Linked DNA regions of Drosophila melanogaster. The gene in region 2 interacts genetically with the main gene of each other region. Each region holds a gene or a part of one and is shown on either strand. Other genes may lie near its edges. The genes, in order: Caf1-105, eyg, pb and Ser.

What was found.
Region 1: of eyg (region 2) and Caf1-105, changing one enhances a phenotype caused by changing the other (phenotypic enhancement), as found in Drosophila melanogaster (one study listed by BioGRID).
Region 3: of eyg (region 2) and pb, changing one enhances a phenotype caused by changing the other (phenotypic enhancement), as found in Drosophila melanogaster (one study listed by BioGRID).
Region 4: of eyg (region 2) and Ser, changing one suppresses a phenotype caused by changing the other (phenotypic suppression), as found in Drosophila melanogaster (one study listed by BioGRID).

What each region holds. Positions count from the first base shown.
Region 1 is NT_033778.4:10,464,237-10,471,184, forward strand, and holds Caf1-105 (chromatin assembly factor 1, p105 subunit), read right to left. Parts: upstream 4,305-6,948; 5' UTR 4,210-4,304; coding exon 3,620-4,209; intron 3,561-3,619; coding exon 1,907-3,560; 3' UTR 1,765-1,906; downstream 1-1,764. Other genes in the region: CG11777 (uncharacterized protein), read left to right, coding at 4,398-4,400, 4,465-4,701, 4,965-5,210; whd (withered), read right to left, coding at 5,527-5,649, 5,710-6,069, 6,132-6,513.
Region 2 is NT_037436.4:12,461,332-12,470,991, forward strand, and holds eyg (eyegone), read right to left. Parts: upstream 6,691-9,660; 5' UTR 6,288-6,690; coding exon 6,155-6,287; intron 4,834-6,154; coding exon 4,513-4,833; intron 3,833-4,512; coding exon 3,692-3,832; intron 3,567-3,691; coding exon 2,983-3,566; intron 2,772-2,982; coding exon 1,938-2,771; 3' UTR 1,206-1,937; downstream 1-1,205. Other genes in the region: CG32102 (uncharacterized protein), read right to left, coding at 7,826-8,092.
Region 3 is NT_033777.3:6,738,103-6,744,772, forward strand, and holds the start of pb (proboscipedia), read right to left. Parts: upstream 3,962-6,670; 5' UTR 3,066-3,961; intron 2,073-3,065; 5' UTR 1,998-2,072; coding exon 1,448-1,997; intron 1-1,447. Other genes in the region: zen2 (zerknullt-related), read right to left, coding at 5,147-5,845, 5,913-5,972. UniProt on the Drosophila melanogaster protein: Sequence-specific transcription factor which is part of a developmental regulatory system that provides cells with specific positional identities on the anterior-posterior axis. Controls development of mouthparts, and labial and maxillary palps.
Region 4 is NT_033777.3:27,190,596-27,197,502, forward strand, and holds the start of Ser (serrate), read right to left. Parts: upstream 3,673-6,907; 5' UTR 3,349-3,672; intron 1,530-3,348; 5' UTR 1,148-1,529; coding exon 911-1,147; intron 1-910.

The DNA.
Region 1 (6,948 bases), on a different chromosome or scaffold from region 2:
TCAGTGTATCAGTCACTTGACCAGTAATGCAAAAGATCAAGAACACGAGAGTTTAATAATTGTATGTAACTATAAATAAATACCAAATCGATATATTTATTGACAATTTAATTAAGCCACAAACAAGAAAGTTATTCATTTACCTTTGAGACAAAAGTAAACAAGGTCGGTCTATATATACAGATATATAAATTTAAATAAATATATTTAGTAAAGGGAGAACAACAAATTGCTACAAACATACATACATATGTACTATATTTTTCTCGTAAATAATTATTAATCGAATACTCATACGGTAGCGACTATAATTTACCTCCTCGATGTCGCTCAACTTTCGAATCAGCAGAGATCGCAGAACTAAATAACTAATGAAAGCAGCATTCAAGTAATAGCAACATTCGATCATATAGTACAGCATAGTGTTAACCGCATTATATCGAATAAACTTTTTCATATTTTCAATACTAAATGGAATAGAATGGAACGGAAATGGAATCAAACATAATTCATATTTTTCTAAAGCTCATACACCTCTTTGCTCCACACACACCCACATAACTCATAAAATCGCAAGTCGCACCACTACTAAAATTACTTTAATAGCAGTTAAAACATTTATAAGTGAAATCCATAAAGAGCTATAACAACGGTAATGTGAATTACTTCGAATCAAATGTCCAAGGACATTCAGACACACGATTTTTTGTGAGTGGCGAATACCAAACTTTGGGATTTTAAGAGGAGCTGGAGGAAAGACGAGATGGCCAGTGGAACCAAGAGTATAGGTTAGACAAAGTTTAGACATTGTATCTAATCTAATTTGTAGCCTAATTATAAATGCTTTGGTTGTCCCATGCAACAGATCAGATTTGTTTAACTATTTATATACTTACCTATATTAACGTATGTGGAAATATAATTCTCCTCAATTCTTGAGCTCCTTTCCTCTCTCTAATGACCACATGGATGAAGTGTAGCTAATGGCCCATGGAAAATTTTTAAAATGAGTTTGAGGCGAGCCACGGAAGCTAACTAAGCTCGAACATGATGAATGAATTTGAATCGTTGAATTAAAAATTTAAAATAATATATAAAACATAAAAATAATGATATAAAAAACTGAAGTAAACCAAAATGTTTGTATGTAAAAGAAACTCAAAACGTTAGAGATCATCTACAATTTAAATAAATATAAATAAAACCAAGCAAGTTTGTTGTTTCTGAATGAAAAGATAGACCCATCTACTGGGTCCGAAAATACATCACTGGCGACGGCAGTCCACGTAGTGACGAAGCGCGCTAGGACAGATTGCATGGCACGACTTTCAAACAATTTTAAGAATCAGGAGGAAAAGTGGTGAAAAAGTAAAGGGGAAAATTAAAAAATTTGGTGCCACTTATTAGTCACGGAAAAGTAAAAAATCTGTTTTCGTCGCAATTTTGCTTGAAAATATTTAGCTGTCTGGTAATAAATGTCTTTTCACAAAGTCCTTCCAAAAAATACGTCCCCGTGCAAATTCATGGAAACTTAACTTGGGACCAGGTAGAACAACCCTCTTGAAGCATTTTTAATTTGAGGATTTCGTGGTACAGTTGACCAGTACAGTCACATAACTTATCAGATGACTTTTGTCACAGGTAGAAGAATCGTGTATGTTGATATAGGAACTACTGAAACTGTACAAACTGCAAATTACTACTGCATTTTGACTGCAATTTTCGTTTTAAAGATCCCGAAGCCAAAGCAATACAATTACCTCTAAACCTTGTGTTGCGTTTTATTGTGGAATATATTAGGAAGAATTTTGGCTATTTTTTACAATTTTGTATGGGGTATCCCCAAAGATCCCAAAAATCTTAATCTTATGAACATAAATCTGTTAAGTCTAATCTATTGCATTGTCTACTCTAAAAGTTTCTTTTTTGATTTGGGCGTGGATATGGTTCGCAAGGACACGCGACGTGGCGTCTTGTTATTCGGCGTGGATGGCCCCGATTCAGTCGGATTTTTTGGCGTTTCCTCTTGCGTATCCTCGTAGACCAGACGAATGTCCTCAGTTCGCTCGCAGGTGGCCTCGCTGGCCTCTATTACCGCTGGTTTCGTTTCGGTCTTTACAGTCTCCGGCAAGGGTTTTCGAGAATCCTTCTTTGTCGCTGGCAGGGGTGTGATGCTCTCGTCGAGGGGCCAGGCATCCATGGCCTCCTCCATTGGGACCACAGGCGAGTTCACCGGCATTTCGATGAGTACGCGTGGAGTTCTCCTCACTGCAATGGGAGTAGCTTGCTTGGCGGGTTGGCTTTTCGGCGTTAGATTAAATTGGCTGGAGCTGCCAGGAGTTCGTGGCTGGCGACGCACTTGAATTGGTGTTGCGGGTCGGGACTTCTTCTCAGGCGATTCGAACTTATCATCAGAACTGATGATCTCCTTCTCGAACACCGGAATCACTGCAAGTGCCGGCTGTGATGTCTCTGCTGGAGGCACTGCCTCTGTGCTCACCTTGCGCTTGACAGGTGATGCCACTGTTTTCTGCACTTGAGTCGTTTTTGTGTGAGTAACTTCCATTTCGTCTTTGGGCTTGCTCGATTCGCTATTCCCCTTATCCTCGGGCTTACGCGGAGCTCTGCGTATAGCAATCGGCATGGGTGCAGTCGAATTTTTACGGGGCGAACGCCTGATGGCGATGGGAGTGGGTTTCTCCTCTTCGCTAGCTTTTGTTTTGGGACTGTTCGTTTTATTCGAACTGACACTGTGCGTTGATGAATCGTTTTCAGCATCCAACTCGGGTTCCCCTACCTCTGTGATACCTGCTTCGGACGCCCTTCTAATTGTATTTGGTTTCGATTTTTCCTGCAGTGGTTTCCGTGGTTCATCCAACGATACCTTGCGCAGCTTTTGCCTCTTCTTTTTCAACACCGTTGCATTCTCTGAAGATTTTAGAACAACGCTCAGCACTGTTTCCATATCTTCATAGCAGTCGCCCAGCTCGGTTGGCTCGAAGGTAATCAGTGAGCAGTAGCCATCGGTGCTGGACACGATCAGGACGGTGCCGTCGCTCGACCAGGCCAAATCCGTAAGCCTGCTATAGTGAATGTTGGACACAATGGCAAACGGCACCGGCTGCTGGGTGTCGTAGAAAAACACAGCGTTCTTTGTGGCCACAGCATAGATCATGCGGTACGGCAGCGAAATAATCGGAGGATTCTTCTCCGCATTGTACGGTCGCAGACGGTACAGTACCGGAGAGCAGCGAACAGCCACCGCATATTCCTTGGGAAAGGGCAGCACAAAGGCGGGTTTGGACAAATCATGGCGACTAAACCCATAGCTGGTGTTTATGGGTTTCACAACACCATCGTAGTCGGTAATTCCTGACGGCGTTAACAGCAGCTTACCATCGGGTGTGAAGCATAAGCGGCGAAAGAAGGTCTGCAAGGTTCCATCTTGGTACAATCGCATGCTCTTGCCGTGCATCTCGTGGTCCTCTTTTACTGGGAGTACACATTTGCTGACTCGGTGCAGAACTCGCTTGGTATTGGCATCAAATATCCGCATTTGTCTAAAAGAAATTTAACTCCATTCGATTAAAGTTCGAACATTTTGGACTGTACTGCTTACCTATCGGTGCTCATGGTGGCGATGTATTGATTGCAGGGATCCCATGCCACGCCCTGTACATAGCCCTTGTGGTCATCTAGAATAGCCAGTGATTTGCCACTGTGCACATCCCAGAGCATCGCTGTGTTATCCACGGATCCGCTGACCAGAAACTGTGAGTTCGGCGCCCAGCTGAGATCGTAGATATCCTCGCGATGGCCGCGCAGTACCTTGAGAGTCAACCAGACCTCCTTGTCCTGTTCACTGCAGCCATCGGCGTCCACAATGTTGACAACTTCGTGGTCGGCCTTCTGTTTCCATATAAAGACAACACTCTCGTCATCGCCGGATGCCAGCAGTTCTCCGTTCGGTGACCAGCGGACAGCGTTGACGGCACGCTGATGCCGGGACAGGTCGGCGGCCAGCTCCACATCCACGCCCTCGGCGTCATCACTTCGGTTAACATACCAAATGAGGACATGGGCATCCGAACCACCAGAGGCTAGGCGGCATATCGTCGGAGAACGCAGCCCCAGGCCATTTTGCTGTATATCCACACTCAGGACAGGATCGCGGTTGTGCCACGAAATCTCGGGTATCTTGCACTTCATCCTGTTTACTTAATGTGCCGCTGTTGATTAGTTGAAGTGCGAAGAGAAAAATCACTTTATGCGGCAGAATTCGCGCCTAAAAGTGTGACCTTCGGTCACGGGAATACCAAATAGTGCTGTTTTCGATTTCTGTTATCGTTAATGGACCGATTGCATATCGAAACGAGGGCTGCACAATCACTTTTAAAATGGTAAACAAAAGTTGGAATATCTGATTTCTTACAGTTTTAACCGATTTTGTTGTGTTGTTTGCAGTCTGTAACGCTGCACACCGACGTGGGTGACCTCAAAATAGAGCTCTTCTGCGATGCCTGCCCCAAGGCCTGCGAAAATTTCCTCGCCCTGTGTGCGAGCGACTATTACAGCGGCTGCGTCTTCATCCGAAACATCAAGGGATTTATTGTCCAAACTGGAGATCCTACGAACACCGGAAAGAATGGACAGTCCATTTGGGGCCAGAAGTTCGACGACGAATTCAAGGAGACCATTAAGGTGAGCCGGCTACCTAGGTTTTACCAGAAAAACCCTCATTCAGTTGCGCCATGACAGCTGGCTTTAATACCCAGCATTCCGGCTTTAAAGGGTATATTGTATCTAATCTTAGAATGTAACCAGCACATGAATCTCAAAATGTATGTTGACATCCATATCATTTTACATTTTAATATGTCATGTGGTTGGGTTCGTTTTTCAGTCTAAAAGATTCCCAAGATACAAGAAGAAATCCTTTAATTCTTGACCACTTAATTCTTCAGCACACTGATCGAGGAATGGTTTCCATGGCCAACAACGGACCGAACGCCAATGCCAGCCAGTTCTTCATTACCTATGCCGCCCAGCCAAATCTTGACTTGAAGTACACGCTCTTTGGCCGTGTGATCGATGGATTCGATGCCCTGGATGAACTGGAGAAACTGCCCGTCAATCCCAAGAACTATCGTCCCCATGTGGACAAGAAGATCAATGGAGTAACTATACATGCCAATCCTTTGGCGACGTGATAGAGATAGAGACAAAGGCCAATCGTACGCTTAAAATGAAATATATTTATAGCACTTAAGGTTACGCGATTTCTTCGATTACAGACTAATTGATTGAGAAACATCAAATATTGTGCAAAAGTATCTAAAGACTAAATCTTAAAACCAGCCAAGTCACAATTGTTTATAAAAAATTGCATTGTTTATGTATAACTCTCACGACGACTTTTGCACTTCATTTCGAACTAGACGGATGTATCAGATGTGTTTAAAACGACCAACTAGGGGGGTAAAAACAAATGCTAACAAGAATCTCGACTACATGGACTAAACGGGATTATGTGGATTTGCCGTTTGTGAGTGATTTGGCGGGCTTCGGATGGTCCTTCATGTGCTGCTCGAACATGCTGCGAATGTCTGACAGAGCCTGCGATATGTTCTGAGCGAAGCGGTGCACATCCTGTAAAGAAAACAATTCGATTAGCTGTGCTCCATGCCATGAATCAGGGCTCCTCATTACCGTTTGCTGGCACGTAGTCTTCGCTGAGATATGGAAGAATATCAGGTTCTCTCCGGCAATAATGTACGACACACCGTAACCATCATCGGCCACGGGCCCAAAGCCGCCTCCAGCGCTGATGCAGTTCGGATGCTTCTTCAGGTCCATCTTGGGCGTCTGGCCGTGCGGAGTCTGACTAGTAGAGAGGCGCCAGGGTTCGCTGAGCACCTCGTTGAGGAAGGGTGAATCCACCTCCAGGTACTTGGAGACCACATACAGGCAGAACAGATGCCTGTCGATGCCACGACCGCACATGGCATCCTGGTAGCCCAACTGGTGACGATCGCAGGCAGCCTGCATCATCTTCACACGCTCATCGTTCTGTACAGCATGGATATATGGATTAGCCTTTGATCTAATTACATAAAATTGTAAAATCTTACGGTTGTATTTGGGTTCTGCATGGCCTTGACCCAGGCGGATGACTCAATGGTGCACGGACGCACTGTCTCAGTTCTTCCTTCGCGGAACAGACGGGTCATTGAAGCCTCATATGTCAACGAGAAGCGACCGGCATCTCGGTAGTAGGCCAACTGCAGGGCCATTTGTATGTAGGCATCTGGTGAGATGCGGCACTTCTTCATAAAGCCCTTGCCGTAATCCTGGTGCACCAGGATGCGCAGATTGACCTCGTTGATAAGCTTCGTCACATCGATGGTGGCCTCTTCGATCTGCGCCAGGCATGGTTTAAGATCCCAAGTGAGCCTAGTGGGCGTGGGTGGCTGGAACGCCGGGGTGCCCTTTGTATTACCCGTTTCGTCATATCTACAGGGTTACCAAGGGAATAGGTTAGCATTGTGGGGAGACGGTTTGTGGGCAAATTTATGGCAAGCAACGTAAATCAAAGTATTGTTAATTTTGTGTAATTGTTGTTAGTCACGAAAACAAAATAAACTAAATGTTTACTTTTGGGTTGATTACAATTTGTAAATACAGTAAATAAAGACAGTAAGGAAAGTAAGGAAAAACAACTGAAATGGCCAACATAAGCTTATATAAAATATGCTGCGTACTGATCAAACTATTCCTCATGTAATAAATTAATAATCCCTTAAAACGTGTCTGGCATTCGCATACTAGATTTTGTATGTTTCAAGTTCGTTATGCTAGTATTTACTGTATGGCGAGATCATTAAAGCTTTTAGCGCCTAGTGATCTCTCGTACTCAACCCAAAAATGACTTGAATAACTTTGCTTTGT
Region 2 (9,660 bases):
AAATCACGTTGATGGAATCCCCAGGCCGTCAAATCAAAGTTAAGTACACTAAACGAAATCACTGAATGAGCGCGAACCCAAAAGGCAAATAAAAGCCGAATATACATATATTGTATGTATATATGTATATATATAGCACAGACGTGGCGCAGACTGTATAAATATCGTATAATGTATAATTTATGGGCCCGAGGTGAAAATATTTTCAATAGAAGGTGATTTAAATTTATTAAAGGAATGCTCACGAGCAGAGCTCCGCACTAAATTAGAATAAGTCGATTGGTGGTATGGCGATGGAGATGGGGCTGGGCCATTTGCTCATAAAAGCCCAAGCAAATTGAATTTGTGGACACCCGATGACCATTCCCGAGCCCAAAATTCTCAAATCCCCCAATACCCCCTAGTCCACAACTTCCAATCCCGATCCCGATTCCGTTCGGAGCTGTAAGTATCGACACGAATGGTGCTCCACGCTCTTTCGCTTATCAGATGCGAGGAGCTCATTTAAATCTCGGCCAGGCCAGAAATAAAGACGCGCATCCACCCGGTTAACCAACCTACAAAAGTCAACGATCCAAACCGATCCCATTCCAACCGATCGGATCGGATCCAATCCAAGCCTGCAAGCTCGCCTTTTGTTAACACCATAATTTACATTGATTTATGTGCTTAGTTGGTTCGGCATTTTTAATCGGTCCCCATACGATACCATATGATACCAAACCATACCATCCATTCTCATCTCCTCGTCGCGTTTAGTCTGTCCCCACTGTGTTTGTGCGCGCGGCTTCATTTGGTTATAATTAAAATGTCGATGTTATCAGCCAGATTTGGACATATTGGCCATTACGTTCGAAATTTAAGCGTTTTCTATGCGCGTATTTTGGATTTGGATTTTTTTTTTTTTTTTTTTTTTTTTTGATTTCGATTTCGTTTGGCTTTTTGTTCTGTCTTCGTTCGGTGTATTAATATTTAATAACGTTTTAAGAAGCTTTCGAGTGTTGTTAAATGCTTATTTATGCTTTTCGGCCGTGTTTGGTGTGTTTGTTTGTTGCCCAGTGTGTTTGAATGGATAATTATGCGTGAAATCGAACGTATAAATTGTATTTGTTGTCAAACCAAAGCGAGTCTATACAAACCGATTTCCTGGTCATATATTTCTGTTTGTTTATTGCCGAAAGAAAGTAAACGATTCTTCATTATTTCTTGCACTTTTTATTGGTTTCTCACTCAGCGGTTGACCATTTTAGTTTTTTTCTTTTATTTGAGCCAAAAACACTTAGTCTACGCACTAAATATCAGTTCAAACGCAACCAACTCAAGAATCAAATCCTTAAACAATACGCATTCATAAATAGATTTGGCTTAGGACTATTTTAAAGTTTAAAGTTACATATAGTTAGATATTGCATATGCTATAGCCTTAAATGGTGATGAGGTAAGTCGGCAGCCGGCGAATGAACAAGTATTATAGTATAATTATGCATAACTATAGGGTATACAATGGGCATGTGCATTTCAAGTGGGACAAGCGTGTTCGTATCGGGTATTAGTTACAATTTCAGCTAATCTTAAGCCGCCCATTATGTTGTTGCTGCTGCTTTCTGCTACATTTTTCTGTTTACTTTTTTCTATTTTTATTTAGTTTTTTTTTTCTTTTTTCTAGCGACCCCGAACCGCAGCCAAGTAGGTGAGCAGCATTTTAACTTTGGTTTTTCGATTTGTTTGCCCACTGTGTGTGTAGTCGCTTCTCGTATTTCAGTCCACCAGTTGCAATTTCAAATGCAATTGCAATTGCATCAGTAGTTGCTGTTGCTTTTGCTGCTTTTGTTTTTGTTGCCACTGTCAATCACAGAGGCGCGCACAACTCAGGTTTTCAATTAGACTTTGCCGCCGCCCATCTAGACCAGGTGGCCCTTGTCGCCCATGTCGCCCATCTAGCGGTCATGCTTTAGGAATTGCAACGTGGCCGGCGCATCGGAGGATGACAGGCGAGCCACCTTTGCCGCCGTTGCCGCCGACGACTCAATTTCACCATCGGAATCGTCGTGCACGTTGATCTCCTCATCCGAGTCCGATGACGAGTTGTCCACCGTCATGGTTGAGCCGCCAGATTGAGTGGTGTTGGTATTGGGTCCCGTGCCCTCACCACCGCTCCCCAAACCACCTGCGGAGTAGTGCAATCTGGAGCGCTGCTCCTCGGCGACCGTTAATGATGCAGCCACGGCATATTGCCTGGCCAATCCCAGGAAGGCAGCCGCCGAGGGCGAGCTCACCAGACTCCTGAAGGCACTACGCTCCCCGCCCATGGAGAGGTGATTCGCCGCCGGATTGCATCCACTGGGTGAGAGTTGCTGTTGTTGTTGATGATGTTGCTGCTGCTGCTGCTGATGCTGCTGCTGTTGTTGCTGTTGCTGCTGCTGGTGGTAGTGGCTGAGCAGCTGGAGGGCAGCTGGATGCGTGGGTAGGTGCAGAGGATGATGGTGATGGTGGCCGCCCGGAGGACCATGCAGTGGGTGTAACAGCACCGAAGGTGGCGGACCCTGTGGCGAGTGGTCACCGCACAGGGGCAACGGCTGCTGAGGTGGCGGCACGGGAGCCACTGGAGCGGAGGTGGAGGCACTGCTGTGGTTACTGGGCGTGGGCGAACTGGCCGGTGCATCGTTCGACTGCTGCGAGTGCAGCGGATTGGCGGGACTGGAGCGCTGACGCTTCAGGAGATTCATGCGTTGGTGGCGACGCCATTTAGCCCGGCGATTGGAGAACCACACCTGGAAAGGGTAGAAATAAATGATATTTAATAAAGATTAGTTATTTGAGGTTTTGGTTAATTGGCTTTGAAAGAGGTAACTCTAATTTCTGATATAAAAGTATTGATTTACTCATTAATTTAAATCAAATGGTATGTAACTACTTTACTAGCCACTTTTAATCTTGCTTTTTGAAAGTTTTGAGTGAAGCCTTTGTTTTCACCTGACTCACCTGAACTCTTGCCTCGCTCAAGCTGGTGCGACTGGACAACCGCTCCCTGGTGCTCACACAAGGATAATGACTCTTGTCGAACTCCTTCTCCAGCTCCTCCAACTGCTCCGGACTGAAGGTGGTCCGATTCCGCCTGAACTTGGGCTCATCATCGTCATCCAGATAATCGGAGTCTATGTGCCGGTTCTCATCCGCTGATTCCAAGGTATCATGGCTGCCAGAGCCAGGGGAGATGGCCCGATTGGTTGGTGTGCCACCTGCTCCGCCGGCCATCAAGTGCGCCGAACTGAGGGAGCCACAAGTGGAGACGGGCACAGCGCTCGCTGCACTCGGAGGCAGATTGGCGAGCGTGGGAGCGGCAACGGACCACAGGGCGGATGGAGGTGGCGGTGGTGGTACCCCCTGGCCGCCGGGCACATTGCCGGCCGGATGCCAGGTGAAGCTACCGTACGGATGAGGGGGTGGCGGGTACAGGCCATAGGCGGCGGTGCGAGCAAACTCGGTGGCCACCCGCTCGGCGGCTCGATTGCGCAGGATGCGATTGATGCTGCTCACCGATGGAGCGGTGGCATTAGTGCAGACACCTGCAAGGCGGGATTACGCAATTACCGAGCAGTCGAAGATCGAGATCAAAAGCTAAAAGCGACCGCCGATCAATCAGCGTTCAATCTGCGTCCGCGGATTAGCTGCAATTATGTGGAACACTCACCCTCCGAAATCAGGCGTTCTCGTATCTCCCAGGCGAAGATCGTTGGATTCTCGCGCTTGTACTGTTCGATCTTGGAGACGACCGTCGGCGTGGCCACCTTGGGCTTTGAGCCACCAATTAAGCCCGGTGGTCGCAGCGAGCCTGCAAGAATCAGAGCACAATTCCAGTTAAATTATGAGACAATGGATTTATGACTTTGCCAGCCTGGTTTTGGCAATCCATCTGTTTTTGGCTGGCAGCAAGGATTAACCCTGGTTGCTAATATCTTTATCTGCTCGTTTCATCAACATGTGATGTATGGAAAATATGAATGGGAAAACAATACAAGCCTTGGCAAATACACTGGTAGAAACCAGAGCAGCTCAAGAATTGGAAAACTTAAAAATGAGTGATTTTAACTACTTAAAGTTACTGTAATGACGGGTTTAAAAGACTTAAAAAATTCTAAACATGGAATAAATGTGATCACATATCCTTATTTGGAATTAAGCATTTTTTTCTTTCAGTGCACGGCAGCACGCACCAACCAACACTACCACCAAGGAATACCCGCTCGTGAATAAGCCGCATTTTGATTAATGAGCCAGCCGCGTTTTGGCCACCGCCAGTCAGGAGTTTATGCAATTTTAAGTGGCCAAATTACACGGCTGCGCACACGAGGGATACGCCACGCAGGGGATGGTAGGGGCAACTCGCAGGATAATAACATGTTTATCATAAAAATTAGCAAACAAATCGAAAACAAAGTACCCATTAGTTATCTGATGAGGGAAGGAACTGAGAAACTGAGCGGTCGTCCCTTTCAAGGGCTCACAACTCACCTAGCAACTTGGAGACAGCTCCCTGCTGGGTTAGCATGTGCTGGGCAATGTCATAGCCACGCAGTCCACCGAAACGTGAGAATTCCAGGAGGCGATGCTGTGACATCAGGGTGTTCAATGTGCTCCCCGTGGGTCCACCTGCACCGTGCGGAATGCCGCCAGTGGAGCCGCCGCCGCCAAAGCCGGGTGGTATTTGCACAGATGTGGGTGATGTGGATGTGGCCCCTCCGCCACCGGCTACCGCTCCCGATCCCGCTCCGGCCGCCGCTGCTGCCGCTGCCGCTGCTGCTGCTGCTGCTGCTGCCACGGATGCCGCCGCTACTGCAATTGAATGATAATTGGGTATTGTTATTTTATTGTGGCTTTAGCTGTCGCGGCCACAATGGTTAATTATGATAAATTAAGCGTTAATTGTGTTGACCGAACCGAAATGACTGATGGGTCCTACGAATATATTAGCGTTTCTATTACCCCAGCAAATGTCTAAGCTGATCGAATGGCCAAAATGGTGGCGACACGCAATCGAATCTTCCAGGCACGAGCAGATTTATCAAGCTAATTGATACGACAATGATCTCTTAGTACAAAAGGCGAAAATTAAAATATGTACTCAGCTGGATACGAAAAGAAAGCAAAAAACAAGTAGAAAAACAACTGTGTATTACGTTAATTCGACAGAATATTATATTTGCCTTCGCTTAAAAAACCTACATATATCATTCGGCTTGGGCAACTCGTCGCTCAAATTGTCAATTAGCGTTTTAAATGCGCGTTTCACTTTTGTTGTTTGTCAAGTAAATATTTTTAAAAAAATACGCGCACCTCCAGTCGTGCCTAACTGAATATACATATATGTAAGTATATGGGCCCATAATCAATTGTGCCGCCCATCAAATGAGAACCAGTTTTGTTTATTTCGGTCTATTTAAAGGTGAAAAGCAAGGAAATGGGACTGTCAAATGAGCCACGCAATTGGTAATGTGACATGCGTAACGATTTGTGTTTGTTTTAACTGAAGATTTAAGTTGGAATAACATAAAACATTTGTTATGAACATACTAAGTACGAACATGACAAATTTTAATCGCTTTCTTATAAATGGCCCACATTGTTTAAACTAGAAATATTATAAAGGATCACACTTATTTTATCTTCTGTTTAAGAAAATAAAAAGGCACTCAAAGTTAGTTTTACATAGACCTTTGTATGATCAATTTGATAATTTACATAATTTATCTACCATATACCATTTAAATAAAAAATTGTTTGTTTTACAGCGAAAAGTTAACACCAACTATATTCAAACTAAATGGATCTGGTTAAGAATTACACATAAACACATTTGACCCAGTTTGATACTTTATTTAATACTTTAACCGAAACACCGTTTTAACACACTAATTTAAACGATGCTTAGTTATTAGTTATACATAATTTCAATAATAGATTTTAGGTTTTATCGCGAAAGAACTAATTTGTTTAAATTAAAATTCGAACATTCCGGATTTGCTATCGAATGACATATTACACCTTTGACCCAGTTTCGGATTTATTTTTTGAAGATTTGTGTATATTTTCTTAAAATCCCCAAGCCTGGCTTTGCCGTCGGCAAGACTTCACATGGGCACTTTGGGGCACTTACCACTGGAAGCGTGAGGGGCCAGCGATGTGATGCGTTGGGGATGGGGCTCCATTTTCCAGTGCGCGGCCGAGAGGCCAGAATTAGCGACAGTAAGCGAGCCAAGGTCACGGTTTAAAGTCGGCTCAATCAACATGTCTAAGAATCGCTCTTTCCAATTCTCTTTATTATTTATTGTTATTTTATATTTGTTTATTTTATTAATTTTATTTGGGTATAACACAATCACAGTCACAAGTGTCGCACATCCAAGGCAGAGGTATCGATTATAGCGAATGCAACCGGAAACGGAAATGGAAACGCAATGCGGTCAATTGGATTCATAGCGTGCTGCTCACTCACACACTCGCATACACACGCACACAGATACACACACAGTGACAAATGCACGACAGTCGATCCCGACAGAAACAGTTAGAAAACGCTCCTGCGTATCTCTTGCTCTTATTTTTATTATAGAATTTGTTTTTATCGAATTTCTTGCGAACACTGCGCTCCGTTGAAACGTTGTTCACGCGAAAGCTGCTCTCAGCACAATGAGCGCTTGAATTTCACCTGGTCACCCGGGTCACTCCGCTCCACTCGAACAGTTTCACTCCGCTTTTGAGTGCTTTTCGAAACGCCAACCGGTTTACGAGTACCGTACTTTCATAATGGCGCCCGTTGAGGCAAACTCTTGCTCTCTCGCTCTTCTGCGCGAGAGCGGGACAACCACATGCACACTATGCGCGCACACAAATCAAACAATTATAAACTCGTTGTTGGTAAAGTGCTGAGTATAAACAGTGGCAAGAAGAAGAAGAAGAAGCAGACGAATGAAGAGCAGTGAGTGTGAGAGAGAGCGAACGCTTTGGGGAAGTGACAAGAAGAAGAACCAGAATAAGAAGAGAAAGAGGAGTTGGGGAACCCTTTAATTTTAACTACAAATGTAGTTGGGATACCATAGCACGTTTGAAGTCAACCTTTAGGTGCATTTCTCGCCTAATGTAATATTCTAATTGATTGAATTAACCGTACAGCTTAAATTGTACCATTTAGGAACATTTAGTTCGTAATCTTTACTGTTGAGTAATGCATTCAATTTATCGTTACTTTAAGCCAGAGACCATGGCCCCAATAAGTAGGCACTTTCAAATACCAACTCTTGATTATCATATCGATCTGTGTACAAATGAGCTACATTTACAAAAGTTCATGCATATGTATAATCTCTAACAATTAAGGCTAAAGACTGAAAAGAAGTTTGGCTTTTTGCTTACACTTCTAAAATAAATAATAATAATAAAATATTTTATTTCGAAATTATTAAAATAGCTGTAATATTGTATCAATAAAATGGCAGTATGGTATGTTTGTTTTACTTTTTATTTGATTCTACTCAGGAGAAAGACAAAAAAATATATATAAATAATTGGTAAATAATACCTCAGCAAAATATAAACATTAGCATTATAATAAAACAGAAAAGCATTAAATTGCTTCCTTTTTGTGGACTTCATAACTACTATTCCGCTTTTAAACTGACCAATTGCAATTAAAACTCGATTTTTAAACATAAACTTATTAAAAGAAGATTTAAGCCTGAAAGTCCTTTTTAAACAAACTAAATCGTTTATTGCATTGAAAGATAACATAAAATGATCGCTAAATAACAATAACTAAAATGCCTGCAATTTAAAAGAGCTTAGTAGCATATAGCCATTTGAAAGGAATTTTAATCCGGTCAAATGTGCAGTGAAGTGGCCAAATTGCATCCATTGCGATCCAGAGTGAACCTTGGACACGTATAAATCGCATGCGTGGCATGGGCCGTTTGCCATTCAGGTTTGCACTGCCCGTTTTGGGTCGTTGTCTCCCGGCCTTTGGTGCGTGATGGATGATTGATGTGCTGCCTGGGCAAGGCAATCCGATGTGAATCGAAACTGCAACTAAACTACACATGGCGTGATCGGGGAGCCACACAGATCACAGCTCGCAGCTCGCAACTCTCAGAACAGAACGGGGCAGAAACGGGCTACACCAAGTGGCAGAGTGGCCTGCACAGAAGCCAAATTGCATCAAAGCCCACGGATTGAGTGGCTCCCGGCGATGCAGGATTCGAATTGGAAGCTGAAAGATGAAAGCTGAAAGCTGAGAGTCGAGTTAAAAAGCAATTACCTGAAATGATTCCCCAATGGAATGAGATGGGATGAGATCAGTTGGGATGGGATGGGATCGGGTGGAAAGAGGAGCGAGTGCAGAAATCTGGATGCGAAACGATATGGTTCAGCAGAATCACCTGGCGATAATGAGATGTCTCACTAAGCTGATCAGAACTGCCTTTGTATTTATTTGTCTGTTCGAATGCAAAGTGCACAATGCACCGAACACTCGTGCATATATGTTTCTTCGATTTGTGAAAGGCGAATCATGAATGAAACGCTGCTGACGATGACGTTCGAGTGCCCTCATGCCAGAGATCCAGAGCAAACGCAAACAATCGAACAGGAATAATTTACTAAGTAAATAATATCTGGATACCGATCGCTGCACGGTAAGAAATTGCGTAAACCGGTGACCCATATTGCTCAGCAACCAAAGAAACCTTTCAGCACTGAGATATTTTTCATTCCATTGTTTTCTGGGATAATTTAAAGTAACAGAATTATCTTCTTACAACATTTTTTTGTCTTAACTTGACAGTAAGAGTTCTTAATTAAAGTCTGAAATTTTTAAAAATATTTTTTACGATTTTTTTTTACTAGTTTACTCAAGATCTATAGCAATATTTAAAGAGTTGAATCAATGGTCTCTATGGAATAGTGTTATATATGGTATATACATATTTCGTAACCATTTGATCCCAATTTTGGCCAGTGTAATCCCCGCGAGTAGCGTGCGCCCTCGCCCCATCAAGTGGCACTTCAACAATCAAGCATTCACACAAGCAGATGGTCCGCAGCCGTTGGCGACCACCTAAATGAAATTTCATTTAGTTTTTTTTCGCCCGTCATCGCCGCCGCAATCGCAACCCGCTCCTCGAGATCTCCCCATCCATCGCAGTCCATCCAATCCATCCGTCCAGCGCAGAGTTCCAGCCCCAATCCCAATCCCAATTCCAATCCCAATACGGTCTCCTATTTGCTTATGCACACATTATCAACGTACGCCCGCCTTATGGAGTGTTTGTTTACCTAATTCGATTACCGATCGCGTCCGTTCGCGCCATAGTCCACCGGCCACTTGACCATTTGGGTGGCACGGATCCGTACTCATGGGGTCCGCTCTTCGGCCAGACGTCGTGCGTAATCGCCCCACGGCAGCTGATGCAGTGCAGCGGAATTGGGAGATGGAGATGGAGATTATGTTGCTGCTGGAGCCGGGGGCCTTAATTGAAGAACCTGCCACGGGGGTACATACATACATACTTTCATCGCTTTGCAGTCGCGGAGGTAAATTAAGTCTTAATATCCTAAGTCGAGTGTCTAAAGATTAGGAAAATAAACACTCAAGGACTTTATCGATTCGTA
Region 3 (6,670 bases), on a different chromosome or scaffold from region 2:
TTTGGCTTCTATATGTTTGCGCCAAGTGAGCCGCCTGTCCAGATGAACTCCCAGATATGTTACCTCGTCGGCTTGTGGAATGCATATGTTATTCAAGACCAGTGGTGGGCATGTTTGTTTGTTTAAGGTAAAGGTAACCTGCTTGCATTTTTGAACATTTATTGAAATTCTCCAGTCGGCAAGCCATCGTTCTACAGATGTTAAGTGTCGGGATAGGAGTGCCGTGGCTTTTATTGGGCATTTCGAGCGACTGAGTATCGCGGTATCATCAGCGAACGTGGAGGTTGTTAGATTGTAGTCTATGGGGAAATCCGCCGTATACAGGGTGTATAAGATTGGACCCAGTACACTGCCTTGCGGCACTCCAGCTTCGATTGCGCAATCGCGTGAAGTGCTTGTATCGCATCTTATTGCAAACACTCTGTTATATAGGTATGACTTCAGTAGCTTATGTGTGTTTTGGGGCAACAGCTTGATTATTTTAAACAAAAGTCCATCGAGCCACACTCTGTCAAATGCCTGCGCGACGTCTAGAAAAATGGCTGTGCAGTATTCTCGATGTTCAAAAGCAGTACGAATTTCTGACGTGATTCGGTTGACCTGTTCGATGGTTCCATGTTTTTCTCTAAAGCCAAATTGATGTGTTGGAAGTGTGTTGTTTATTCTAAGATGAGGGCTAATCCGAAGGAGTAGCATTTTTTCAAACAGCTTTGAAAGACATGTTAGTAAGCTTATCGGTCTATATGATGATGGCTGCGTTTTATCTTTTCCTGGCTTTGGAATCATTACTATGGTCGACTTTTTCCATTTTTGAGGGAAGTATCCAAGCTTGGCGATTGCGTTGAACAACAGGCAGATGTGAAGAATAGCACACTTTGGGAGTTCAATGAGCATTCTTGGAGTTATTAGGTCGTAGCCAGGCGATTTTCTTGGGTTCAGTTGCTCTTTGATAACCTTTGCTAGTTCACATGGTCGGAATTCAAAGGGTTCTTGAGGATCTAGATTGGCTGCTATTAAAGGAGGGAGAATAAATGTGTTGGTAGAGGGATTTGGTCGGAATACATTTTGTAAATGGTCAGCGAAAGCACTGGCTCTTTCTTCATCACTTCGAAACCAGGTGCCAGAGGGACTTCGTAGTGGCATAATTGGCGCTATTGGAGTCTTTAGGTTTCTGTGAGCTCGTGATTAATGAGAGTTTCGCATTTCACCAGCCAGTACACGGCAAGAAAAAATGGCCGGGACAAGAGAACCCAATTGATTCCGGTCTAAACTGATATGGAAAAGTGTCTATAAAAATATCTTACTTTTTATTTGATTGATTCAATAGTTTGAGATGGACTGATGAGATTATCGCCTATTCTTCAGAGAATGGTGTTCAAATTGACATGGTCGATCGCTAAATTAAAAACCTTATGCTTCCCCCAGTGTAATGTGCATGTGGACTTACCCTGATTGTTGTTGTTGCTGCTCTTGCGGGATGTCTTCTTCTCCTTCATCCAGGGATACTCCGGCACCGAGTCCATTCCATCCGGCGTTTGAGGGACAACGCCAACCGGATATCCGACTCCGACGCCGACATTGACATTAACGTTGACGCCTACTCCGCCAATGGCGCCGGATCCAACAGGTGTTCCGATTTTGGGACTCTCCGGACTCAAGTGGTTGAGGAATTCAGCCATCGACGGCTGCGAATTGATGAACCCGCCCTCGGATGCTGTCATCCAATAGGCCGTGTCCGCGCTCCGTTTATCACAGTTCGGGGTCATCTTGTTGACCATGAGCACCGACGGCACAGGTGGCACCCCCTGCTGTCCGATACCAGGCTGACCAACACTCACTCCCACGCCACCCACACCACCCACGACGCCCGCACCACCGCAACCACCCACTGGCAGGGACGTCTGTCCAGTTTGCACCTGCAGCGGGTTGAGTGGAGATTCCGATTTGATTTGGGTGCCCATTGAGGTCGTGTCCAAGGAGCTGCAGACTTCTTGCATAGCTTGGGTATAATTTTTTTTAGATTCTTTCTATTTCAATTCCTGAGCGTATTAGATGTTCCTCAGCTTGGGAACCTGGAAAGGAAAGCCATTTTTGTAATCTCATAATAATGTTATCACGATTCAGTTCCCAGGAAGTTAGAGGTTTCACTGTTCTTATCGAATGTGAAATTGAATAATGTATGTATATACTTCATTAAGATATGTTATCATTATCTTCATTAACCTTTTAAGAAACAAAGACATCGTCACTTTACTATGCTATTCAATGTTTATTTTATTATTATATTTATAATTTTTGAATTTTTATTTATATATTTTGAATATATATAATTTCAATATAATGTACGTATATACTTCATTAAGATATGTCATTATCTTCATTAACATTTTAAGAAACAAAAACATCGTCACTTTACTATGCTAATCAATGTTTATTTTATTATTACCGATCCAATTTTTCACATTGCAACTGTCAAAAACTTGACTATTTTTAAATTACATATTCCAATTTATATTTCATTAGTCTCTCAGTTTTCTGTGCCAGAAATTCATTTGTAGTCTGCATTTTTACTATTGCTCTTATAGAAATTGTTAGGCCTTCACTTTAAATTTATGGCCACCTAATTTCGATTGAGATTTGACAATATGTATTGTATGTATGTACAATACATACAACCTGTCCTACAATGTTACCTAAATTGGCTTGGTTCGCATACATTATTTTACATTATTTTTTTAAGGATTAATAGTCAGTAAATAAATTAACATATTTTAAACAGAAAAAGTTATAAAGCTGTTACATATCCTCATCTAAGAAATGCCGCATAGCTAATTTCCTAGGAAGTATAAATGAATAAGAAAATTCGAATATATTTTCCGATTCCGCCAATTAAAGATTTGAAATATTTCTTGCAGTAAACATTTTGCCGACTTAAAAGGCTCGTATTTTAGACTAACATGTTGTATCAAAAACGAAATAACGACACGCTTTGATTTTCTCGTGCTTTAAAAGGATACACTTATTTTTAAATGTAGGTAAGAAATATGTGTAAGATAATTTCGTACCATATTAAGTTGATCATTTACAGACCACAGTATTCCATATTTCTCCTCTTACGTTGACATATGCGTTCTTTGTGGAAATTTCACCGGTATCACTTGGGTCACCGTTTTCACTATTGTCTGCACTCGCTCATAGTAACTGGCTTAACTTTTTGTTTGTTTTTTTTTTTTAGTTTCAACCGGCACAACTTTTGCGATGCGGGTTTTGCGTAAAACTTCAGTGTGTCAGGGCTTATCTGTGGGCCGCGAAAAGAGGCGACAACCGCGACGAGAGCGAGGGAACCCAGATCCGAATGTAAATATGGCCACCGTTGTGTTTGCTCAACCGTCAAGTGGTGTTTGGAGTTGGTTTTTCGCTTTCAGGTTGACATAGACACACACCTTTTGGCAGCCATGGCGACGCGAAAGGCCAACACAACCGACGAAACAACGGCGATAACGACAATAGTGCAAGTACGCGCTGTACAACGGTGCGTATGCGGAATGTGTTGATTTTGTAGAGTTTTGTAGAGTCGCTGCGATCGCTGCAATGGCCACACACAGACACACACTCAGTCGTTGCAATTCGTCTGAGATAGTTTTCTCCACTCGCACTCATACACATGTGGGCACTAGCTGTCCCTCTCTGGCCTTCAAGAGGTGCGCAGAACCGGGTTTCCAGGGGTTCCTAAAGTGCTTCTCAACCGTATAGTAAAACTTTTGGTTTCAACTCGTTTTAATAATATCACTTTTTAGTTTTCAAAATTTTTGAACTATTTTTGTAGCTGTCATTTTAATAAATATTATTTTTTAGATACCGAACCGATTCGTAGCGAGAGCGAGACAGAGGGCTTTTGGGGAGCTTCGTGCGGTTCCCGAGAGCTAGATAGCAGCCAACAACCATTCCATCCAATAGCACCGAACGCACTGAACTGGGATTTTGGGACCCAGTATCAAGGAGTGGCCTAAGCGACAGCCACCGCATCCATCACGCTTTTTCCTGGTCGGCACATGCGCGGTGCCATCTGGAAACTGGTTACTATAGCCATTACGCGCAGAGACCAGGGGGTGGAGTTCACACACACCGGCGCACAAGTCTCCGGCCCTCTGATTGGCCGGCTCGGCAGTTTGTTTTGTATCTTTGCGGTCGTGTAGCTCGGGAACCCCTGTATCTTGGGCCATCATTTCCGCGGCGTTTTCTTGCCTCATTCACTTTTTTCCACTTCCAACGCGAACGTGTTGCTTGTGACGGAATTTATTTGGTTTTTCTTATTTACACATTTCGCATCTGCTAAAAAATGAAAAGAAAAAGCCACAGTAGCGAGTTTCTCGCTCTCCGGCTTTTTTGGCTTTCGGCTATGGGTATTTTTGACATTTTGCTTCGCTCATCGCTCTTTTTGTTTTGGGCGCCTCTTCTCCTGTCAATCTTGGTGGCATTGCTTTTTGCCTTTTGGCCGCTTTTTCGCCCTCTTTTTGCTAACGTTCTCCAATCCAGTCCGCGCAGAGTTTGTAATTATGTGCGGATTTTAATGCACACGGGTGTCACTACAGGTGTAAAAATATTGCCACGATTTTGCACTGCAGCTGGGGGTGGTGTTCGTACTTGGACGCTCTGACGAACAAGTTGTCTGACAGCAGGGAGCTATGTGATCGGCAGTCTACGTAATGACGATGCGCACCATGAGATTGTTTAAAATTGTGAAAAAGATATATGTGTGAAAAATACAGAAACTTTGAGGAAGCATTAAGTAAAATAAAAAGCCAAGGCCATTCATTATAAATATCATATAAATAAATGTTTTAACAAGTCAAGCTTATTTAGTTTCTCAACTGTATCGCCCACTAAAATGGAATTTTGTCTAAAAATATTTGATTTGTCTGGTGGTGAAATTTTTGAAAATCGAGTCCGCAAAATGTATCCCCAAATGCTGCACAACCAGCATTTTTTGTTTGAACAAATAAATGCGCACATTAATTATAAAACATATTTTATTTCATCCAAAATAAGTAATAATAATGTAGTCACAGAAAGATATTGCTCGTATAATACAATGATTATATATGTATGTATGTACAGTTGCCTAAACATATAGTCAAAGATATATTTAAAAGTTCAACAAATTTTGAATAAAGTCATAGTCAACATCCAAAATATCCGACGATGAAGCAGAAGAGCTATTCGAGTCCCAGCAGAAATTCTGTATCATTGGCTGATCCTGTGTATTGTGTTCAATTACATTTTCTGCGATAGGAATCGTTGGCTCAAGGCCCAGCCATGAACTCGCCCAGTTAGCATCGAATTCATTGAAGGGCAGTTGGGGAAGAGCCATGGGCTCAGGAGAAAATTCATGGAGGTAATCGTAGCTCTGATAGGGTGGTGTAATTTGACCCTCCTCCAGGACACCGTGATCAACCTGCCGGAGTGGAGCTGTTTCCACATTTGTGTTGGCATATCGAAGGAGACGCTCTACGATCTGGTCGTCCTTTTGAAGATCTTCGCTCGACTGGGAAGAAAGTGGAATAGATGTGGTCAGCGCTCCAATGGCACCCTTCCTATTGGTCGACTTCTTGAGTTTCATGCGACGATTTTGGAACCAGATCTTAACCTGTCTCTCTGTGAGTGCCAAACGCTGTGATATCTCGATTCGCCTGGTTCGGGCTAAATATTTGTTGAGATGGAACTCCCTTTCTAGTTCGATTAGCTGAAGACTGCTGAATGCCGTGCGAGATCTCTTTGATTTCTCCGAAGACCTTGTTGTTGCCGTGGGAGCGGCTTCTACGTTTAACTCGACGCAAGGATACATCTATAAATATATAGATCAATTAAATCTTAGTTTTTATTTAAATAAGCAGTAATTTTTTAAATCCCACCATTAAATCACTGACTGAGTAATTGTCCACAAAATAGTTTTCGCTTTGAATGGCAAACATTTTTCTTGAAGAGCGCGATTTGTTGGCTTCTGACCGCTGTGGCCGATGTTTTTTAACTAGATACCTTTAGATTCTCCTTATTTGCTTATATACCCCAGAAGCCCTTCGTGACGGATCGGATTGGTTCCTACCTGTCCCGCCTGCGACACTTTCAAATTCCCAGACGGCTGGTCTGGGCTGGTAGATGTCGCGTCCTTTTGAGCCTGGCTCCGAATCAAGGTGAGTTCCAGGCTCCAGAGAAACCGACGTACTTCTAAGTAGCGTCACACGGAGAAATATTATTCAGGGGATATTAATGTTACGTCTGGATCTATTTGTTTTATTTATATGATATTATTTAGTTCGTCAAATAAATACTTGCAAAAAATCAAATGTAATATATTTTAAGATCTGAAACATTTTGTGATGAAAACATTAAAATACATCTCCATTTTCAAGGCACCTAAACGTTAACTCTTAGATAAAAATTATTTTAATTTTAAATCAACTTTAGGCCTACGAGATAGCTTATAGATAAATAATATTTCAGTATTGAGAAATATTTCCATTCTTATCCAAATAAAAACTGACTATCATTTGAAAATAAGTGTGTTCTAAGTTCACTTTGTCATCCAAAATATCCACTGATAGTCCTACCTACCTATATACCTACGGATCTGCCCAGCTTTTTTCATGCCTTCGAGACCCCAATCCCCCGG
Region 4 (6,907 bases), on a different chromosome or scaffold from region 2:
CCCCTCGCCAGCCCCGCTCCTTCAAACTACCTATAACTTTCCGGCCAACGATTAATTTTTATGTATTTCTGAACCGTTGGCTGCCGTTGGCTCTCCGACTCTTTGCCTTTTTAATTGCCGCTCGGGGCATCTCCGCTGGCATCTCAATACATGTTTAGGCACTTTGTGTAACACTTTATGACGGCTACACCCCGAAAACCACCTAGCTCCTCCGATTCTCGACTACCGTTGCCATGTGGGAACCATTTCGTAGAGATGGTTCTCGTAGATAGAACTGCCCACTAATCTGGCGGATCACTTTTCGAGGGGTCCTCATCCATGCGATCGTTTTAAGCCCAGAATTCTTAGTCAGAGGCTTTTTCTAAAAATCGAGAATGACTTTATTTAAATGCCAGTTTAATGGTTAAAACTTGGGGAATATTTTGACTAAGTGCAGTTATCAAAATGCTGGTAGATTTGTTGATATTTTAAAACGTAATGGATACATTAATTGAACAGGGAAAATATATCCTCTATTTTAATCTCAGCATTTTCAATCTTATTAAATAACTTAAGACTGTAAATGATTTCTGTTTTTTTAACGCGTTCTACGAATCTTGTTTATTGACATATGCTTGATTTACTGCTTTGAGAAAATTCCAGCGTAAGAGCTCTCATTAAAGACAGCTCTTCGGGATGCGGAGTTGATAAATCACTCAAAAAAATAAACCCAAAAATCATCATTATTTACGTCCCCCATCAAAACTTTGCCCTCAGCCATTGCCAATTCGCATGGGTTGAATCAACTTTGTCTGTTTTCTTTTGGCCTTTTTGACGAGACACTACACCCGCATGTATTTGGATCTGGGGCTTTTTGCGATTATTGCTTTGGGGATTCGATCGTTTTTTGCATGTTGGTTGGTTTGCTTACCTTATGGACTAACAGTATTAAAATTAAAGCAATTAAGTTGCAGGCAGACTTTAATGATCGACAATCGCGGATCGTCGATGGCAGGGTCGCGATTTTGGGTACCCGATGCCTCGGACGCTGCCTTTTTGTCGCCGTCTTCTTGGACATTCCCAGGCTGTCTGCTGATTCTATTGTTGACTCCAACGACGACGACGTAGCTGGTTTTCGCCGAAAATGTTTCCTAAACATTTTGTACATTCTGGGGGCGTTTGCGAGCGTGATGCTGGTTGGCGATCTAGATGGAGTTTGTTTCGGATTCACTCTGGATTGGCACCACACAAATGTAAATTCGCTGGGCAGCCTTAATTAGCCCATGTATGCAGATTTTGGTGCCTTTGTTTGTTTCTATTTTGCCACACTACACTTGCTCTGGATAGCTGAATAACTGGCCGTACTCTGGATGCTGTATCATTTTCTCCACTTTGCCTTCGTTTTGTTTGGTTTTGTTTGGATAATGTTGTTATCACACACAATTATTATTTATTATTTATATGGACCTTAGTATGTGCTTCTCTCGTTTTTGTTTTGTTCACACTTGACACTTCCACTTGATAGGCGCTGATGTTTTGTAGATCTTTAGCTGTAACAATTGTCGAACGAATTGGAATTGAAACGGGCTGCGCAAAATCTATTTCACTGTGCATCATCAACGCTAATTGACACGCAGATGATGCTGCTGCTGCTGCAGTTGCAGTTGCAGTAGCGGCAACCGCAGCAAGCCGCAACAAGTGCCACCAGCCACCGCAGCAACATTTACTTTTGCCAGACCGCAAAAAGCGGCAACGTGCAGCAAATGCAAATGCAATTCAATTTATGTTAATTTAACGCTGTTACTGCCGCTGCTGATGTGGCTGCTTCTGCAGTTGCTGCTGCTGCGACTATGGAGCCGTGTCTTTGGCCACAAACAATTTGCATCTTGTGCGCATATTAATTTACAGATATTTTCACTCTTGCTCACATTACTCATTCTTCCCACCCTGCCGCTGCTTTTGCCATTCCGGCCATCCTATCCTCCCATGGCCTTTAGCCCCCCAGCCCGCCCCGGTTCCTCCTGCTCGGGTGTTAATTGTCCATTTAATTAAGTAATTTGCTTGGGGCCTCCTCCCGGCTTTGGCACGGAACGGAAGTCGTTGACTTTGAATCGAAACCCAGATGCTGCCGCTCTTGCTCATGCTGCTGCTGCTGCTGCCGCTGATGTGGATGTTGCTGCTGCTGCAGGGCATGACCGGAAGTGGCTTTTGCAAGTGGATGATGCAGCTACCTCCCCCTTAATACCCCCTAATACCGCTACTTTCACTCTTCTCTCTTGGCAATTTGCAAAACGATGAATGAACTTCTAGCGGCCTCAAAACTTTAGTATACCGTGTATCCATTTCTATTTCTAGTAACTTCTGGATATACTCTGATTTATCAAATAATTGTGCAACCAGATCACCGTCTTGAACTTAACGATCTGAATAAGCTTTGGACCGTGCTAGATCCGTTATTCGTTGCATATGGTAAATCATTGAGCAGTGCATCGAGCATTTTCCGCGCTCTCTTGATCAGGGGCTTTCCCATGCTCGTACCACCCATTCAGAACCAAACTGATTTCACAATCTCTCTTTTCTCCCGGTGCACAGAAGAAAACTACACTACTTCATCTATACGGAAAGTTCTTTAACTTTCTAATAAAACATTTGTTATTCAATTCAAAATTCTTTAAATTTAGAAAAAAAAATCCGTGTTAAGCATCGCTTTTAGAAAGTCAAATACTTTCAATAGGTTGTTTGGGAATCCCACTTATTAAGTTCTAGTGGAAATTTCTCTATGTGCGCCCATTATTATTATTATTTGTATTATCTGCGTGCATTATGAACTAGTCGGATGTTTTCATTCTTTCTCCCTTTCACTTGGCATGTTTCAATTCCACTTCGTAGTTGTAGCTTCGTGTGTTTGTGTCCCTGTTTTGCGTCCCTGTGTGCGTTATCAATGGAGCACACTGTGGCCAGCGATTCCCCCGGAATGGGGCACTCGTTTTCGCATATTCACATTGTTTGCACTTTTACTTTTCGCCTTTGATTAAACACAATTTTGACGGCATTGTATTTTGATATATTAATGTATTGTATTTAATTGAAAGGTATTTCCGTTTTCCTTAGCTCACACGATCTGGGCTCAGAAATTAATCACACACTATGGAAACACACACATAGCAAAATGTCGGCTGATTGTCGATCTTTCGATTTGCTTTTCTTCCACCGAGCATTTGTAGTTGATTGCTCTTCATCATTTGTTGTAATCAGCAAGCAATTTAATTCGATTGCGGCACATTAAACACTTTCACAATTGTTATATGGATGATGGTCGGTGGCGTTCAGTTTGGGTGCACAATAATCCAATTCGAGGAGGGGTTTTACCGTTGACAGAAAAGGGGCTCATCACCGCTCGAAGCACGGCGCTCGACTAAACGCGTTAACCGAATCCTGCGGCATTTCCAGCCCTCGAGCAGCATCCATTCACGGGGCGGAGCAAGTCACGCGAGAGAGCTGCGGTTTTGGTGGTGGTAAAGGTGGTGAGGTGAGCTGTCGCTGCTGCTGCTGGTGGTGGTGGTGGTGGTGGTGATCTGCAGTCTTAAGAGAACTGTGGCTCGGTCTGAACCACCGAAACCGCTTTCAAAATAAACTGGCGACGACTTCCGCTGAGTGCTGCGTGCGCTTCAGGCTTCGACTAACGACTGATTGCCTCTGGGCACAAGTTGCCGTCGATCCCGAGAGCTTAACTCGCAGCGATTCTCTCTGTGCTTCTCTTTGAAGAAAACCAGTTTGCTCTTCGTGCAGTGCTCTTTAGCCAGCCGCTGATTGGTCGTACGACTGTATATAGCCCCGGGGCCCGGAATCTGAATCAGAATCGGCAGTTAATGGAGTTGCTGCCGCTTCGGCTGCTGCACGCATGCGCGCCCGAGGCTCTCGGCTGCCGTTTTTTACGATTCCAACTTAATTATGCCAATAAGTGCATTCTGGGGCTGTGTGTGTATGTGTGTGTGTGCTCCAGATCTAGTAGCTCCAAGGGACTGGCAATTAACACCTAATATGAAGGAACGCTCCCACAATCTTTAACGGCTGGGAACCAAATCGAAAGATACTAGCATCGGCCAATTATTAACCACACAGACAGAGCGGCGACTTCCATCCAATTATCTGCTGGCCAAAAGTGTATAAATCAAATTTAAATGCAACTGGCCTATCAGTGCAGCCAAAACAAAAGACTTAAGCAACAAACTTGGCAATTACATGCGGCCAACAAGACAGGCGGCAGCATCTTTGTTGTTGCTGCTGCCTACCTTACTGTTGTTGTTAGCGGCTCATATTTCTTGAGGCGCATATCTAAATATCGAATCATGTTGCTGATTTTCCATTGTCTGCCCACCACAGCAACAACAGCAGCAGCAACAACTGCTGCTGCCTCAACAACTGCAACAACACATAGTAAATCTCATTGTGCCGTTGTGACATGACTCTTGTTCGACAATAGATAAAACAAATTGACTTGGTGTGTGCCCAAAATGTCTTCTCTAGCCGTCTCCCTGGCCATTTGGGTCTCCATCCTCCTCTATTTGGTGGGCGTACTGGGCAGCGGTCTCCCAGCTCCTTTGTCATCTTTTCTCGCTTAAAAAAAAAGAAGAAAAAAAAAACAGAAGAAATGGAAGAAAAACTGCACTACAATGCCCATTATCAGCTTACATATCTGCGACAAGAGACCCCAGAGCGGCAATTGTACGGGCCACCGAGACGGCAACGGCAAAGGCAACTGCCAGCGGCAATGGCAACGGCTTCGTTGTCCAAATATGTTGCAAGTTGGTGTTATTCTTCACACGGCATCATAAATTTCACGTATAATTGACGCTTTCAGTTATATCAAAATTGGCTAAAAGGCGACGACCAGCTTTGCGTTGGTGGCCAGCAGACTACAGCCTTCAGCCATCAGCCTCCAGAGACTTCGAGCTGGTGCTCCCCAGAGATATTATTTTTGCTCACTGTGGCTTACATTGTTTTCGTTTTGATTTCAACTAATAGCAGACAACGACTTACAGGTGTCTTTGTGCGCGTCTCTCATAATTTGGGGGCACTCTGTGTTGGCGGCTTGTTGGACACTTGTTCGGGTTTGATGGCATTTCTTTTTTGGGATTAGCTTTCGTTTTCCGGCCAAGTGTTTTTGTGTTTTTTGGTTTTACTGTCACATGTAACAGCTGCAAAAGTGGACCAGAGCGGTGGCATAAATCCATAAAATCAAACATATTGAGTAATCAAAATGTTAAACCCACCCTCTTGACAAAGGTTCACCCCCTCAAACCAAAAAAACCCTCGTTGGGCGAGTTCATTAAACAAACAGGCAAATATGTTGGCAATTTCAACCAGTTGGTTTTACACCACTCAACATTTTATGACAGATTTTTCAAGTGTTTTTTCCGCCTCCTCGTTTTTCTTTTTTAATTTTTCACTCCTCCTGCTGCCGTTGTGGTGGCTGTTTGCGGTTAGTGGTTTCTGGTGGTTTAGTGGTTGCCACATAGTGGCCGCCCTTCGTCCGGAGAATCATTGCCTTAGGTTAGTTGTTTACGAAGGCTTTTATTGGCACACAGCCGGGTCAGGAGATTTATGGGCAATATTTTTAGCGTAAAGTTACGGACACTTCAGAGAATACTCGAGCCAAAGAAATTGGAAAAAGAATGGGAATTGGAACTGAGCTCAAAGGGGGCAGCACTTTTCCCGAAAACCATTGCGGTATTTACTTTAAAGATCTGTGAGTGTTAGCTAATAGTATTTCACACTGTTTAGCTAAATGGTGTATAAACTACAAATTCTATACAAAAGAGGGGTCGCTGAACTTAAGGAAAATAATCTGATCTTATTAATTTAAATGGTTATTGCACTAAGAAGCTTGTGTAAAACTAAGGGTTGCAGCCCATAGTATTATCTTGGCTAAATGAAATAGCATCATTAAAAATTATAGATCTTAAGCTAAGTTAGGATAATATAACTTTTCAATATTAGAATATGAAGATAACGAGATTATGAAATTGGCTTTTAGAATCCGTTGCGCCTTAAGTATTATTTATGTTAATACTGCTTACAGTTAAACTTGGTATAGTTTAACTACAGATCTTATAAAAATGATATTATTGCTCTACTTTTTAGGAAAGTAATGTGGTTCTATAGGGGCTGAGAACACAGCATTGTGCAGCTTAACGAACTTACCACTTTCCAGTTGTGTAATGAACAGATTATTCATGACGAACCATCCATCAATGTGACCACCTGACCTGACCCCGCAATTTGTACCACCTTACCCGAAATCAAAATCAAGGCACTTGTGAACCTCACACATGTTCGTCCGAAGAGGGGTAAAATGCTAGAGGTACGCCTCATTTAACCCGAAATCCACCCCTAGGCGCTGGCAAAACAAAATCCAATTGCAAAATCAGTAAGGCAAACAGGCTGCGAACGCATCGCATTATCACACGAACAAAAGCGATTAATTAGCGACGATGGGAGGGGGAGAGGGGGGGGGGGTTGAAAAGATATGGCAGAGATATAGAGATCGGAAATTGAGCAGGGTTGGTCTCGATTGCGCCGACGCAAGCGAGTAATCGAGATGGCTGCGCGTGCTCATGTCTTTCGCCAACATGTGCAACTGTTACCCAGCGAATGCGATTCGGATTGCGACTGCGATGACAGGGAAGAAGGGGTTAAGGGAAGGGTTGTGGCAAGGAGTCCTCATATCGAGCCCATACTTTAACCCATACACGTGCATATGTCATTTTTATAGCGCTATACGTGTTTGCCATAAATCCATAACAATATGACAAGTACAAGTACTTTAGCGGCAGCCTCTCTCATGTGCAACATGTTTGCACGTTCACGTCACCGCCAGTAGACAGTAGACCAGCACCAGGTATACCCAGGCACATCCAGTGCAAAT